Linked DNA regions of Notamacropus eugenii. Each later gene encodes a partner of the first gene's protein in a complex. Links are inferred from orthologs where the notes say so. Each region holds a gene or a part of one and is shown in the gene's direction. Other genes may lie near its edges. The genes, in order: VDAC1 and PPIF.

The links.
Region 2: VDAC1 (region 1) and PPIF share a complex: the UniProt entries of both Homo sapiens proteins name them as parts of the mitochondrial permeability transition pore complex. The link is inferred for Notamacropus eugenii from reciprocal best matches to the Homo sapiens genes VDAC1 and PPIF.

The regions. Positions count from the first base shown.
Region 1 is NC_092872.1:341,432,363-341,440,803, forward strand, and holds the start of VDAC1 (non-selective voltage-gated ion channel VDAC1), read left to right. Parts: upstream 1-5,110; 5' UTR 5,111-5,273; intron 5,274-6,016; exon of another isoform or gene 6,017-6,122; intron 6,123-8,441. UniProt on the Homo sapiens protein: Non-selective voltage-gated ion channel that mediates the transport of anions and cations through the mitochondrion outer membrane and plasma membrane.
Region 2 is NC_092872.1:229,941,173-229,949,308, reverse strand, and holds the start of PPIF (peptidyl-prolyl cis-trans isomerase F, mitochondrial), read left to right. Parts: upstream 1-4,627; 5' UTR 4,628-4,728; coding exon 4,729-4,935; intron 4,936-8,136. UniProt on the Homo sapiens protein: PPIase that catalyzes the cis-trans isomerization of proline imidic peptide bonds in oligopeptides and may therefore assist protein folding. Involved in regulation of the mitochondrial permeability transition pore (mPTP).

The DNA.
Region 1 (8,441 bases):
GCTGTAAACTTTTGGGAGACTATGGATGAGTCTCACAGGCATGGATGGATTTCTAGTTGTATTAATGAGGGCTGGAAGTGGAGTTTAAGAACCCCACAAAGACCAAGGTACCAGGGGCAGGTTGTCTGGAGAAGAATTCACCAACTCAAGCATCGTTGAATTCGAGGTAAAGATTTATTATGCTTTTCAGTGGGCAAGAGTTCTTAGGGAACCTACAACCTTAAAGGGGTACGGGGAAAGTTTATATAGGATATTCTATGGTATCACTTGCGCCAAATATGATAACCAGGTGTTTTGAGGTGGGATTAGGGAGTGGTTAAGGCGTGGTCAGTTCTTAAAGAAACTTGCACTTTGGTATCTACTGCTCAGGTATTTTACCCAGAATTCATCGGGAAATAGTCCAAGAAGGAGTTACCTGGAGGTGCAGTTTTAGTCCTGAAACATCACTAAGTCAACCAGCAGTCAGGGCTAGCTCAGAAAAACCAGGTTGTTCTCATCAATGTCTTCTTAGACAAGACAAATGTAAGGGAGTATAGGTATGTCCAAGTCTAGGATATATATGACTGGTCAGTGAGTAGTAAATGTCGTTATGACCCAGTGCACAGCCTGTTCAGCCAGTACACAGCTGGTTCAGACTAATAAGTTCTATAGGTGCAGCTGGCTACTATAGCAGGAAGGGAGATAATGGTTGTTGCTAGGGCAGACTGTGTCCTTGTGCTGGGGAGAAACTGCCTGAGATAGTATTTTGAGGCTAGGGAGAAATGTGATTTTTAAAGAGAAAGGTGATTTTAGAATTGGGGCCCAAGTACATGCACCCAAGCACCTCATTATTTTCATAGGAGACTCCCAAATTTCCATGCTATCATAAATCCATTTAGATATTTTGAATATATTAAGTTGAACAAAACAAAAACAAAATTGTGGCGGACAGCCTGCGTCCCCATGTGGGTAGGTGACAGCAGTAAAGAAAAAAGACATGCAGGCAGGCGGGAGAAGATAGGGCAACTCCATTTATTGAACCAAGGGTCAGGGTATTTATAGACAGAAACTGCAAGTCTACATGACAATTTACTGGTCTCTGTGCTAGTGACTTGGCCAGTCTTATTGCCTTAAAGAATGTTAGCCTAGAGGGCATCTATTTTACATATCCCTTGTATTCCCTAGTTCTCTTGCTTATCTCACTATTTCAGAGAGACAGCAACTTGGGAGGGGGACCTGGAGAGCCATTCTGGATGATAATGAGCACAGTCTTAAAGAATAGGTTCCCTGAAGTTCTATCCTGAACTTTGCCAACAGCACTCCATCCTAGCCCTCAACACAAAATCGCTAAATTTCTAAGAATTAGAGCAATTTAAAAGCAGACTAAGAGGACTGCCGATGTATAGGAGTTTGATCCAGGGGTGACAGACTTTTCTTTACTAGAAATATTTAAGTAGGGATTGGTTGATTACTTGTCAGGGATGCTGTAGAGAGAATTCTTAGTCAGGATGGTCTTTGAGGTTTCTTTCAATTCAGTGTCTCTGATTCTGAGGTTTTTTTTTTTATGTAGGGAATTCAATAGACAAATACTAGGAGGTAGGCTATTCCTAAGTTAAGGAATAGCCTAAGCAAAAGTACAGTAGTTTGAGAGAAGGCCACAATGTCTGGGCAGAAAGTAGTAAAATTTAGTTATAGTGCACTCATTTATTTCATGGTTCATAGGATATGGAGATGGAAATGACCAAAGAGATAATCTATTCTAATCCTTTTATAGATGATGGAGGAAACTAGCCGAGAGAGAGTGTATTAAGCCAGATTAGAATGTAGATCTTCTGACTTCAAATCCAGTGTTTGCACTAAAGTTGAGTGTCTAAACCAACCCTTCATCAGCTGATATACAGGTATATGCTTATTCTCTCAAATCCTAAAACAATAAGAATTTCCCAGAAAGGAAGGGTCTTGCCCAAGGTCACTGATCTAGGCTAGAGTCAGTCTAGGTAATGAAAAGTCATGGATAAAGAGTCCATGACATTTTTTCAAAAAAGCCCTCTTTGTCATAGTGTGTATCAGGAGTGGCCAGGTCAATCTACCTCCATTACAGGTACATTAATATATATAAAGCACTTTTCTAATAACCCTGCAAGGCATGAGGCAGGCATTGCAAATATAATTATTGCTATTTTACAGATGAGAAACCTGAATTCCAGACAGAGGAAATGATTTGTCCAGAACTGTCCAGGGTAAGCATCAAACACAGGTCTTCTCACACTACCTCCACTGCTATACCATACTGTATGGTATGGCACTTTAAGAGATAGAAATTTGATTTCAGCTTTAGGCAGTGCCTGGAGGTCAAAGAATGAAGATTGTGCTGTTGACTGTTAAGAGTGACTGGGTGGCAAAGAAATGGAAATTGTGGGGAATGCCCATCAATTGGGGAATGGCTGTAGCACATGAATGTAACAGAACACTACTGTGCTATAAGAAATGATGAGCAGGCAGATTTCAGAAAACCTGGAAAGACTTTGAACTGATGCTGAAGAAAGCAAGCAATCAGGAGAATATTGTACATAGTTACAGCAACGATGTTTGATGATTAACTTTGATAGAATTATCTCTTGTCAGCAATACAATGATCCAAGACAATTTCAAAAGATTCATAATGGAAAATGTTATCTACCTCCAGAGAAAGAACTAAGGAGTTTGAATGCAGATTGAAGCATACTATTTTCACTTTTGTGTGGGGTTTTGGATTCTTTTTTCCTTTTTGTTCTGTTTCTTCTTTCAAAACATGACTAATGTGGAAATAGGTTTAACATAAATGCACACAGATAACCTACATCAGATTGCTTGCTCTTTAGGGGACGGGAGAAGGGAAAGAGGAGGGAGGCAAAATTGGAACTTAAAATCTTACAAAAATGAATGTTGAAAACTATCTTTACATGCAATTGGAAAAAACAAAATATTATTTACAAAAAAAAAAAAAGTGACCAGGAAACAAGAGACCTAGGTTCTAGTCCCAACTAATTCTCTCCTCATTGTCTCAATTTCTGTGATGGCAATCAAATTAGGATCTTTTGCTGTTTTTATTTTACTAAAATGATGTGATTAAAGAACATCTTCTTCATCCGTTGATGGGCCTGCCCTTAGAGGGAAGCTTGATTAGGGGAGTTGTTTTGTAGGAAGGTCCCAAATACCTTTTGTTTTCTCTATTGAGGCACTGGATCAGCGGGTTATGCCCTCTGGCTCTGAAAAGTGTGTATAAATATTCTGAAGGTAAGGTTTTATTTTGCAGCTTACTGACTAGAAGTGTTTGTTTGGCCAGAGGAGGACTCTGGGAAGCAGCTAAGGAGTCCTTCTCCCTCCCGCTTTGAGAAACCCAGATGTTCCCTCTCTGGTAAAAATGTGTATATGTTAATGGGCAGACATTTTAGAAGCATGTGTGCTGACTTTTGATTTCTTAGTATTTTTTCTGAAGTTCAGGTGCTGACTTTTTCTCCTGAACTAACTGAATGATACATTTGCTTGATTAAAATGATTGTTAACCCCTCAAAGGTTGCCTTTCCCTTTAGAGAAGCAGATCAAAGAACCTGTGGTAGCAGGCCCCACTGTATATATTTCGGTGCTTACTGATACAGTTTCCCCATCATCATTCTTGTTCTGGTATTCTGTGGATCTATGATTGTTTGAGTAAGAGGGAGCCAGGATAGAAACAAGAAACATTATAATTTAATCTTTGTGATAGCAAAGAAGAGATACTATTTCTACCTCTTGCGTTAGAGATAGAAGATACATTGTAGAGATATTCTCTGTGTAATTCTGTTAGATAAAATGGAGCATTTAGATGCTTCTGTGATTCATTCCAAGTTGTCCTAGATTCTTGGGTTATTTCCCCCTCCCACCTTCACTACCAGTACAATAAGGAAATATAAAATGTCAGTTATTATTACTGTTGTTATCCCTGTACTTTCTACATATATATCTTAAGTCCTGGGACATGATTACTGATGTTCAGAACCTGCAGTCTCAATAGGTTTTTACAAGGCAAAGAAGGGTTCATTGATCTTGTCTCAGATTGGAGCCCAAAGGCAGAGCCATGGTTTCTGGCTCAATCTCAGTGATTTTTCAATGACGCCAACCCCTCCTAAGTTATGAAGAGTCTAGTTCTTGGAACTACAAGATAAGGAACCCAAATAGCCCCTTAGTCACAGGGTATGTCAAGTCAGCACCTGGTGAAGCACAGGGCAAAAGTATATGGTCACATATGGTATATGTGACCAATTGTGATTGGCCACATTTATGGTTATTTTGTCTGTCCTCAGATATGCCAACCCTAGCACAACTTAATTTGGTTTCCAAAGGTGGAACATGAAATTGTCAAAGAACAAAACAAACAGGAGAGATCAAGAATTAGGCTTGTGGCTCAGAATCCTGAGAGGTTCCTGGGAGAACTGAGCTCAGATTTAGAGCTAGAAAGAACCTTAGGTGTCATCTAGGCTGAATCTCCATTTTCAACCACGTTGAAACTGAGGTCCAGTGAGGATTAGTGATTTGTGCAAAGTCATACAGGTAAGCAAATAACAGTTCAGATTTGAATAGTGATTTTCAACCTACTGCTTTTTCTCTGTTTATTAAGTGTGACTGATTTCTTTTAGATCTAAAATTGTGGACCTAGGATAAAGTATGTTGCTTACTAATAGAGGCAGTTCGGAGTGGTAGAAAGAGCTTTTGGACTGAAGGATACTTGATCGGAGAATTGGATTGGAAAAAAAGGCTCCGCCACTCACTAGCTTTAAAACCTTAGGCAAGACTTCTAACTAACTTCTCTGAGCTTAATCTATAAAATGGAGGATAATAATCCTTGCCTGTCTACCACATGGAGTTGTAAGGAAAGTCCTCTGTAAAATGCAAAGTGCTGTGGAAATGGGAGCAGAGCAGAAGAGCCCATAGGTTCAAGGGCAGACACAGAAGTGCATACACGTCGAAAGCAGCCATTCTAAACAAGCCACAAGAGGCAGGAGACAGATGGAGAAAGGAAACTGGGAGGGGGGAAGGACAGGGAGAGGGGGAAGGGAAGCAAGGGTGGGGACAAGAGCAGCGGAGGGAGGCGGGAAAGGAAAAATGGAAGAAGGGGAGGAGATTGACTCGGAGCCCGGAGGAGCCCGCACCCGGGGGCGGGCTCGCGCCGCCGCCGTGCTCCGCGCCCCGCCCCGCTCCCCCGCAGCCTCTGCCGCCCCTTTGCCTCTGTGTCCGCCGCCCTCTGCTGCTCCCGCTGCGTTCGCCGGGAGAGGAAGGTAGGGACCCCCCCCCCCAAAAAGCCCTCTATCCCCCCAGCTTCCCTTCTGTGCCCCGGAGGCGTCAAGGCTGGGGCACAGATCGGCGGAGGCTGCTTGATTTCGTGCGGAGCTGCTGCTGCGCCTACCCTGGCCACTGCCCGGGCGACCTGGCCTAGAGCCTGACCCTGAGGTCTGGGGCGGGGGCCCTCGGGCGCAGCCTAGCAGGGCACAACCCAACCCGACCCGGCCGGGATGTGGGGGCGCGCCGAATGAGTGGGGCTGCGGTGGCCGAACCGGACTGACCGCGCTGCACTGTCACCGCTGCCCTCTTGGGAGCCCTGGCCCGGGGTAGGGGGGGCCCTGCTGGCGCCCCGCTTTTTGGCCCCCTCAGCCTCGCGCCCGTGCTCCCCGAGACCCTGCCTGGGGCTGCGCGGGCTAGGGGCCTGCGCTGGGGAGGGAAGCTGGCAGGCCCGGGCGCAGCGCCACGCAGCGCTGCTGGGGACGTGACCTTCCCGGCCGGGAGCTGCGGGGCCGCGTGTGCGGACCGTGTTGCCGGTCGGGCCGGAGGCAGCCCCTGGACCCCCGCACTCTCACCGCCTTGGCTTCCCTCTCTAGTGCACATCCCCAGCCGCGGGCACCCAAACTCCACCTGCGCCTGGCTTCCACCCGGGCCTCACCCGGTGGATAGAGACCCCTAGTCTCCCCACTTTGACTTCGCACTGTCGCCCACTTTTTGGCCTTCTATTAAAACATGCCCACAGGGTTAATTGGTGTTTGGTTGGCGCTGCTTTCTCGAAGACTGTCCCTGGATAGCAGCGGCCCTTGACAGCGGCCCAGCCACACAGACAGCAGGCCACATGGCCTACGGTGAGACCGGGTGCAATTCTACCTTTGTGGAAACAGAAATACCTTCGCTCGCAAATTATTCTGTGTTAGGAAGAGAAGGGATCCTAGAGATAATGGGTTTTAATCCCCATTTTGGTCCCAGATGATGAAACTGAGACCCAAGAAGGAAAAAGAATTGGCCCAAGGTCACACTGTTCTGAGCGAGACGGAGTCTCCAGCTTGAGTCTCCTGGCTCCCTGTGCCGGGATATTTGCATTATCGAAATCTTGTTTTCCTTGTGCCTAACGTGATTGTTCTTCTGTGAAACACGTCCCTAGAATTATCAGGGAAGATTTGCTCAAATAAATATTCTAGCATTTTCTAGATTTGTGAATTAGTTACATAGTTGCTATTAACCTCGGCCATTCACTGAGGTGAATAATTAGAGGAGTGAGAAATAAATGTTCAAGGGGAAATGACTCTACTCGAAACCACATTCTCCCCGCCCCCTCTCCCCCCAGCTTAATGAGGATAACCTATTAGAGTGATAACTGCTGGGTGGCTGGAAGAAATAGCTCAGATCTGCTGGCTGCAGCTGTTAGAATTGCTAAAAGCCCCCAAAAGTCCTTTGAAATACATTTTTAAAAGTCATTTGGTGTCTCCATGAGGGAGTCTTAACCATGGTCGCTCCCTTCTCTTCTCTCTCCAATCTAAAGGGGAAAAGAGGTTTGCACAAATAACTAATGCAAGAAAGAAAAGGATAGGAGGAGGGTGTGTGAATGAGTGTCTTGTGCACTTAGAAAAATACTTCTGGTCTCCTCTTTATCCCAAATATACTTTCCATGGGAAATTGAAAATTAATTATTGCTTGGTCAAAGTCATTTACATATTGGTGGGTGTGGTCAGAAACTTTTTAAAAAAATCTGCCTGCCTTAAATTAGTCTGGGCTCTGTCACTAGCTCACTTTATGACCTTGAATAAGTCCCCTCTCTGGACCTCAGCCAGGGCGTTGGACTTTGTGATATTTAAGGTCTTTTTCTACTCTGATACCTCATGACTCTGAATACCTCCTTATATTTTAGTGTTAGTGATGTAGTGATACACATCCCTCCTCACAATTTTTGACGACTTGGCAGGATCCATGATGCACCAGTTTCTCTTAGATGAGCCTTTGGTTGTGAGTGGGTCAGTTCCTAACCCATTGCTTAGCTCTGAGCTAATAATATTATAGTTAACAAAGATTAAGTATGCATTCCTGAATGAGATGCCAAGAACCAAAGTTCTGTTCAAGAATAGATTACATATTTTTTCCCCCATCATGACATTGTCTCTTTAAACAAAGTGAAACACCAATTCCCCTGACTTTCACAGGCCCCAGCCAAGATTGGGGAACTGATGATACTTGCAAAAGGCTAGTGAGTTTGTTTTAGCCCACTCGTGTACACTTGGAAATCTTTCAGCCTCCCCCTGGATGGCCTAGCAACTTTCGACTGAGTCATCCAAAAACTGAGCATCCAGGTTTTCAAAATTCCTTTGTCTTTATTTCTTTTTTTTATTTTATCTTTTCCTTAATCCTGTTACATAGCATATTATTGTTTCCTCTGCATGTAGAGGGTAAGCAATTTGCCCCAAATCTCATAGCAAGTTTGCAGCAGAGCCAAGACTAGGAATCTGGTCTTCTAAGTGCCAGTTAATGCATTTTTTGCTTTACTGTGTTACTAACTTAAATCTTTTCTAAAAATGCTCTCAGTGTCTAATCAGAACTGTATTTGAATGTTATGATCCTATAATTTTGATAGAATCTTGTAAAACTTGTGCAAAGCCTCATTTTGCTCTTTGGTGACTGTTGGAGAAGATGCTTCATCATCAGCATCACCCTCTGTATTCTTCCCGCAATTCCACATCCAAGTGACAAATCAGAATGGAGGGCATCAAACCAGTGAATTATCAGATATTTGCAATTTCCCCTGACCACCTCTTTGTAGGCAGGAAAGGCATATCTTCATAAGAGTTTCTTCCCAAAAAGTCCACTGTAGGCTTATAAATGTGTTAAGCAAAAGAATGAATGGTACCAACTTGAAAATCACTTTGAATGATTGGCCATCCTGACTTGTGGGCTTTCGTTGAAAATGTGAGTACAGAAAGTGACTTGGCTCACATTTTTGTCTAAAGTGGTTAGTTGTCCGTATTTTATAGGTAAAGAAGGCTGAAGCTAATTAGAGCTTCATACTAACAGAAATGTCAATAACTCACATTGTGAAGTTGGCCAGATCATTGCCATCTCTGAGCTTTAGTTTCCTTCCTTGTAAAATATTGGAGTTGAACTGGAGACCATGGATTCTTAATTTTTTTTTGTCATGG
Region 2 (8,136 bases), about 110 Mb from region 1:
TTGTTTGCATGTCTCCCCCATTAGACTGTTGACTCTTTGAGAATAGGGATGGTATTTTGTCTTTTTTTATATCCCAGAATTTGACACATAATAAGAGTTAATAAATGCTTACTGATTGACTACTAGAGAATGATCATCAATATGAGTTAATAGTTAAAGTTTTTCTTTATCTTGAACTAAAATTCTTTCCTCTGTAAGTTTGACCCACTGGTTCTCCTTCTTCCCTCTAGGGCTGCCCCAAACAGGTGTAACAAATGCTTTTTCCCCATGACCACCCTGTTTGGAAACAACTAGGTCTTCTTTTCTCCTTGTTAAATATTCCTTCAGCCACATTTTTATAGGATATATATTCTAGACATTTTAAAAATGTAATCTTGGGCAAGTCACTTACCTGCCAAATGAAGGGAGTGAACTACACAGCTTCTGGGGTCTTCTCCAACTCCATATCTGTGGTCTTATGAACCAGCTCACAACTGGATGCCATTATCACACCCATTTTACAGATGAGGCCAGCAGAAATGAAGGGACTTGTTCATGGTATCATTGCTAATAACTCAGGGAGTTCTCCCTGAACTCTTCCCATTCATTCTGTTAGAATGCCTCTAGTTACTTTCCTATTTGCAAAACGCCTGACTTCCATTATTCTCTTTTGATCCTTACTTCCAAAGCCGGGAGGAAGGTGATGAAAGACAGACTAATTAACAACCAGGGTCATTCCCCTAGTATTGAAGGAGCAGGGCTGATATTCAAAGCCAGGTTTTCTGTCTCCAGAGCTAAGGCTCTTTTCTACTCTTTCCAGCATAGAAAAGTTTCTGGGAAATGCATCTTGTAAAAATGGTCGAAGGAACATGCTTAGCATGGAGAAAAGGAGACAGAGTTGTCAAACAGGGGCTGTCACAGGGAAGAGACACACAGTCATCACCCCTGTTCTGGGCAGCTCCAGTGGCTCATATCTTATTTGGAAAAAAGGGGAGAGCCTTTCAGATCCACATGAGGGGAAACAGTTGAACATACTGATGACCATCTAGACTTGGGGGCAATGTTTTCAGAAAGAATTCTTGCATCACAGATGTCAGCAGGACTAGATACAATTCAGTTCAATGGGATACATGTGTTAAAGCCTATAAACCGAGCAGCAAGTATTTATTGAGTGCTGACATGTCCCGTTCTAAGTATTTCATACTTAGGACTTTACTTCATCTTTCCTCAAAGAGTATATATTCTACTGAAGGAATACAATATTTGAGTATCCCCTCATTGGAGAAATCTTTCCTCCGCTATCTGCATGGCTGCCCTTGAACCTCCCATCTCTCTGTCAGCGAGAGAAGGCACTTGCTGTCTGTCCCAGGTTTGGTCTGCCTTGAGAGATACAGATGATGGCAAAGCCTGGGTCTCAGTAACAGCTCAGCAACTAACCATTTGAGGGACCGTAGACAAATGACTTCCCCTCTTTGGCCTCCATTTCCCATTCTGTAAAATGAGGGACTTGGTCTCTAAAGTCCTGATGATTTTTTTTTAATTTTCCAGGGAGTAGCTTTCCTTTTATTATTATTTTTTTTGGCCATTTAGAACTTTAAGCTGTGGAGAGATGGGAGGACAGTGTCTCTCTGATATTATCCATAGTCCTATTCCTTTTGGGGGCAGTATGAGAAGGTTTTAACCTGGTAGCATTGCTGGGAGGGCCCTGGAAAGGGGAAAGAGGATGGAAAATACTCATGGTGGATACAATCAATCTATATACTCACCATAAGGAATAGGGTTTGGGAAAATAAATGGAGAATAGAAACCATATCATTTAGCACTCACTTCACACTGATTTTTAATTATTACTAATAAGAATGATTTTAAAGCTCACATTTATAGGGTGTTTTAAGGTTCACAAGGTACCTTCTCCACATCAACCCTATGAAGGTTGGAGTTTAAATGAGGCAGGGGATAGGGCTCCAGCTTCAGAAGGCAGAGCCCTGTGGTCCATTCAAGAAAGTTTGGGGCTCCTGGACTCACGGATTGCATGATGAAGCACAAACTTGGAAAATGAAGAAAACAGAAGGGGAGACTTAAGAAAAAAGAAAAGCTTGTTTAGAGTCTGAAACTAGGTGATTTGATGGACAGGAAAGCTGAAGGCTGTGATCTATGCAGTCCTACTGAGGGCGCTGAGGTACTACCAAGGTGTCCCTAAGCCAAGATCCTGGCAGAACCTAATGACTCCACAGCTGAGAGGTTTTGGCAAATTCTAGCCTTCCGGTATAGATTAGCAGATTTCCTTGGAGGTCATTGAGAGAGCAATGATAAGGTTTCTTTACTTCTTCATCCATTTTCCCTAAGAGGTTTTCTTCCATATCCATTACTTTGGATGACAAAGATATTAAGCTCAGTTGTATATGGGTAGCAGAGAATGACCCCATTGTTTAATTATTTCCTTATTAGTTACACTGATTTTGTATCTTAATTAAAAGCTTTTGCTATTAGGTTACTTGAATGACTTGGTAACAATGTTGAACTAGATGACTTTGGTGGTAAGATGCATAAATGATTACACAAGTCAGCCATACTGAAACTGGGAAAAGTATCAAGGGCTTCCAAACTGAAATTTAAGTGACACAATCTCTGCCCTCACGGCAGAAGCTTTGCAATCCAAGAGGAGAATATTCTTAGATAACTATAACATATAACAGCATCTGAGAAGGACAAAGCAAAGAGTTCCCATTTCCCCCCACCTGTCTGAGGTTCTCTGCATCACTATGTATTTTTGTCTTTCACTCTCCTGATAGGTCTCTGTCCCTGTCTTCTTGCAACTAACTCTATTTCCTGACATAGGAGCCAAAACTTGAGAGCCTTTTGTCTAAAAAAAGAGTGAGAAAACTTCTTACCTATCTCCAACAGTTCAGAGAATGGGAGAGAAAGATGATCCCATCAAGCCTCAGGGGATTTCTCAGTTCCTGGAAGACCACTTCATCTGTCCCACCCTCAGTTTTCTCATCAGCAACACCAAGACAATATGTTATCGCTTGATAATCATATAATATAAGTTTTGGACTTTAATAAGGGCCAGAGCTTGAATTAATCAATTAGAAGAAGAGCCTGGATCTAACAGTCTCTTTGTTCTCTGAAGTAAACTCAGAGAATACCTCTTCCTATGTTAACAAAGCCAGATGGGGCTGACTTAGCATTCCTTAGGAGGCCCTTAACCCTAGACACTATCTTGAATGATGGGACTTTTTCCATATCTTAATATCTTGGGGACATATACTATGTCATGGAATGTTAATGGTAAAGAAAACACAGATCCCTCAGGTCGTGATTTCAATAGAAACCTTGTCATCTCTGTTATCTTATTATATTTACAACCTATGCAATTAAGAAATTCCTTTCTCGTGGTATAGTTAATCATTCATACAGACCACAAATCTGAAGGACACAGACAATCTTGGATTGTCCTAAAACAGATTTGAGCCTGATCATTCTTGTATTAGTCAGCCAGAAGTTTTTCTGGCTCCATGATCATGTAACTGCTAGCTTTAAGGGAACACACAATATGCATTTAGCCTGTTTGTCTTTTTTTAACCAAACTTCCAGGTCAACACACTGTATGCCAGTGGATAGAAAGCTGTCTTTGGAATCAGGAATCAATTAATCAATTTCAATTCAATTCAATAAATATTTATTAAGTGTATACTATGTGCCAAGGGATTAAAAAAAGAGAAAAAAGACAGTTCTAACCCTCAAAGAGTTTATAACAAAATGGGAGAGAAAATATGCAAACAAATTTATATGATGCAAGCTGTATTCAAGCAGCTAGGTGATAGCAGTGGATAGAGTACTGGGTCTGGAGTCGGGAAGACTCCTGTTGAGGAGTATGAGTCTGGCTTCAGATACTTACCTGCTGTGTGGCCCTGGGCAAGTCACTTAACCCTATCTGCCTCTGTTTCCTCGTCTGTAAAATGAGATGGAGAAGGAAATGACAAACCACTCCAGTATCTTTGCCAAGAAAGCCCAAAATGAAGAGTTGGACAGGGCTAAAACGACTTAACGATTACAATAACTATATTTATGATAAATAGGAAACCATAGGGGGAATGCACTAGAATTAGAGGGGATGAGAAAGGCTTCCAACAAAAGATAGGATTTTAATTGGTACTTAATGGAAGCCGAGGGGTCAGTAGTCAGAGTGGAGGAAGGAGAGCTATTCCAGGCATGGTAGAGAGCTGAGAGGTGGAGGGTCTTGTTCGTAGAACAGCCAGGAGGACAGTGTTCACCTCGGGGCAACACCTGGACTCCAGCGCAGCCTCTGATAGTGTTTTTGTGACCCTGTGTTATCACTGTAGGCACCTGTGTTATCACAGTAGGCACCTGTGTTGAGTGTAAACTGCACAGAAAGTGCCCACTCGCATTGGTGAAGGGAGTTTGCTCATTCGGAAGTTCCCTGCGCACAGATGAGGCAATCCTAGGGGAAGTCCCCCTCCCGTGCCCAACAAAAGCCCTGGATGGGAAAGCCAGGGCAGGTGCCCCAGGCCCGGCTGGAGGAAGTCACCGCGGGCAGGCTGGTAGGTGTGCCCAGCCTCCAGCCTCCATGCCCACGCCCAGGGGCGGGGCCGCCGCGGGGTTAAAAGCCCGAGTGCGGAGGGGCGGGCGTTCCTTTCGCGCTTCAGGACGCAGCGGGCGCCCCTCGGTCCGTGCGCACGCTCTCCGTTCCCCGCTTCTCCTGCCTTCCGTGCGCCTCGGTCCGCGATGCTGGCCCTGCGCGCCGGCCCCCGCCTGCTGAGCCTGGGCCTGGCCCCGCGGCGGATCTCCGCGGCCCCCACGCTCGCCCGGCTCCGCGGCGCCCGTAGCAGCGCCAGCAGCTCCGACTCGGGGCCCGGCGGGGCCGCCAAGAACCCGCTCGTCTACCTGGACGTGGGCGCCGAGGAGCAGCCGCTCGGCCGGGTGGTGCTGGAGGTGGGTGCAGAGCCGCGCTGGGCTGCGCCGGGCCGGCCCCAGCTCAAGGTCATGGGCGGAGGGGGCGGGGCCTGGCGCTGGCCCTCTGATTGGGGGGATGGTCCCGGAGGGAGGGGGGGCACCGTCCGGGCAGCTTCTCGGACCCTTCACGCGGAGAGTCGTGGGAAGGCGCTTGGACCGCGGGTTTGGCATCTGCCTTAAACGAGTCTGTCAATCACTCCGGGCCTCGTATCAGAAATGAGGAAACTGATGAGATTGGAGAAGTGGTCTGTCTTCCAGCGGTCACCCCCCCCCCCCAACTTTATGAATTTTAAGTTTTCAGAGGCAGGGGTGGGGGAGTTGGGAAGCCTTGCTCCTCTCTCCCCGGGAGTGGAGGGAGAGAAACATTGGGAAAATTAGTTCAAGGTCATCCCCGGAGAAGTCAAGGGCCAGCAGGTCTGGCCCCACTGTATAAGGATTGGGGGACTAGGGGGCAGAGGTGAACGGGAAAGGTCAAAATGAAGAACTGCTGGGTAGAGCTGTTATCAGGAATCCCCGCCCTAGGCAGCCTAATTGCCCTTCCAAGGGAGCGGGAGAGGAGCTCTGGCTTTGGGGGTTGGGGAGAGGATTCAGAATTCTTGGCTCCTAGGTTGGGGAGGGAAAAAAAAAGCAAACCACCGAGGGTCACGTGGCCCCAGCAACTATTTGCATAAGTGTTTGCTTGTGTGGGTTTTGGAGTCCGCAACTCCATCCCCATAAAGCCCTGGAATTTCGAGTCCTGGAGGTTTGAGACTAGCCATCCTCACTTAGCTCATTCCATATAATAGTAATAATAACTCACTTTTATATAAGTTTTTACAATGTATCAAGTGCTTCCCTCACTACAACTTTGTGAAGTAGCTAGTAGTACCTCTAATGATCCCCATAGTTGAGAATCTTGAGACCCTGCCTCACAGCCAGTAAATGTTCGAGGTGGGATTTGATCCCCAGTTTCCTTAACTAAAGCCCGGGACCCTTTTCATTATAGCCTATGGCCTCTTGCAGATTTATTTGATTAATTAGGATTGAGTCAGGCACTGAGAGACATACAGAAGTAGAGATAGATAGGGCACATTCCTTTGCCTCAGTGACTTTACAGTTTGATTTTCCATTCAGCAATGTGGGGGAAGCTGGTGGATGAAGGGTGTATGAGAGAAGGCATAGAGCTCCGTTGAGCAGGGAGAACTAAGCAGTGTCCTGTGCTGGCAAAATGCTGAATGAGATCCTTGTCTTCTATTGATTCTACTAGTTGGAGCTAGGCTTGCCTAGGACTCTTGTTTTTTGTGTGCTCAGAGGCTCCTTGCTTTCTCTAGCCACCCGCCCTCAGATGACTTGGACAGCCAGTGATAACCTGGAGCCAAGGCATGGCAGTAGTTGTCCTAGGCTTGTGTGAATAGGAGCTGGCAGGGCCTTTCCTCAAAGGTTGCCACCCAAAGTGGTCATCATGACCCTGAATCAAGTAGCCTTTTAATCCAACAAATAGTTGTTGAATGCTCCATCAGGTCTGATGTAAACCTCTGGGCATCCCTCAGTTTCCTTGTCTGTAAATTGGACATATTTATGCACCTGCTTCACAGGATTGTTGTGAGTATTAGTAGATTTAGAAAAGGTTTCAAGCCGGTACACAAATGTGGAGGATGACTAGGAGTCAGGAGCCACTAACTTGCTTTCTGACCTGGCACAAATCGCTTTTCCTGTGCTCAACCTCAATTTTCTCATCTTATAAAATGTGAAGGATCTGTTAGAAGATTAGTAAAATAGCTTCTGGCCTTAAAATTGGGGTTCTCTTATTGTGAGCTCAGCCCTGGTGCTAGACATCTTGAGAACCTATAAGAAGAAAAGACATAATGAATGATCTTGGGCAAGTCATTTAACCTCTGTTTGTCTCAGTTTCCTCAACTATAAAACGAGGATAATAACAGCACCTACCTCCCAGGGCTGTTGTGAAAATCAGTGAAATAATACTTATAAAGAGTTTAGCACAGTGCCTGGCATATAGTAAGATTTGTATAAATGTTAGTTTTTATTTCTATAAAAGCTATTATTATTCTAATTTTTGCCTTTCAGGAACCTGTAAGCTGGTTGTATAAGATAATCGTCAAGTGTGGAAGTGTTGGAAAGATGATAAACTTACATGTTTATAGAGCTTTGCAGCTTAGAATACTATAGAAAAAAATCCCATTTTTATAGGGTTTTGAAGCTTATAAAGGATTTTTCTTACAACAGTTGTGTGAAGTAGGCAGTGCAGGCATTGTTACTGCATTTTATAGATGAGGAAACTGGAAGAGAAATTTAAGTTACTTGCTCAAGGTCATACAGCTAGTAAGTGAGAGAAGCAGGGCCTGACTGCATTGTGAATTATCCTCCTCTCTCACTGTAAGGCCTGATGGAGTGGTCCAGGTGTGGTGCAGGAGTGGGGGAGTGGGTAGAGGTTACTTTGGGCTGAAGGAAAGCTCTTGGTCAAGGATTCCACCCCCTGTTCCTCCTATGACAATCAGTCCTGGGCAAATGAACTTGAAGCACTTCTGCCCTTATCGCCTGGCCTTCCTTTCCCTCCCCTCATGTTAAAGACCCTAACCAGTTAAGGGTCCCTTGAAAAACAGCTTTGGTGGCATCCAGAAAGTGGATGCCGGTGTGGTGTCTCTCTCAGTAATATACACTTATCTTTTTGGTGCTAGTTCATACCATTAAGGAAAATAATATGAATTGTAGCTCCCAAATTGTGTTTAAAATTTTACCCAAGCTCTTTATAGACCTGACCCTTAACCACCCTATGATGTTAATGCCGTTATTATGCCCCTTTTACCGTTAGGAAAGTGAAGGCAGAGAGGTTGTAACTTGATGTTGATGACAGCTTTCACGCTATAACTAAATGTCCAAAGTGGTATTCAACCCAGGTCAGGTTTGTTTGGTTCAGGTATAAAAGAACCTGAGATGGTAGTGGGGAGAGAATATGGATTAATCCAGTCCTGGACTAGAATTAGGTCTTTCTAGGTCAGACTATCATTCCCATCAGTCTGAAGTTTCCATGGAGGCAAAGCCTTTTCCCCCTCAGTGACCTCTTTGAGGGAAGAGACCTTATAATTTTCCTCCATCTTTGCATCCCTGTTACCTAGCTACTACAAGGCCCTGTTTACAACAATAATAATTCCAAGTTAGTAGAATCATAGACTGTCAGAGTTG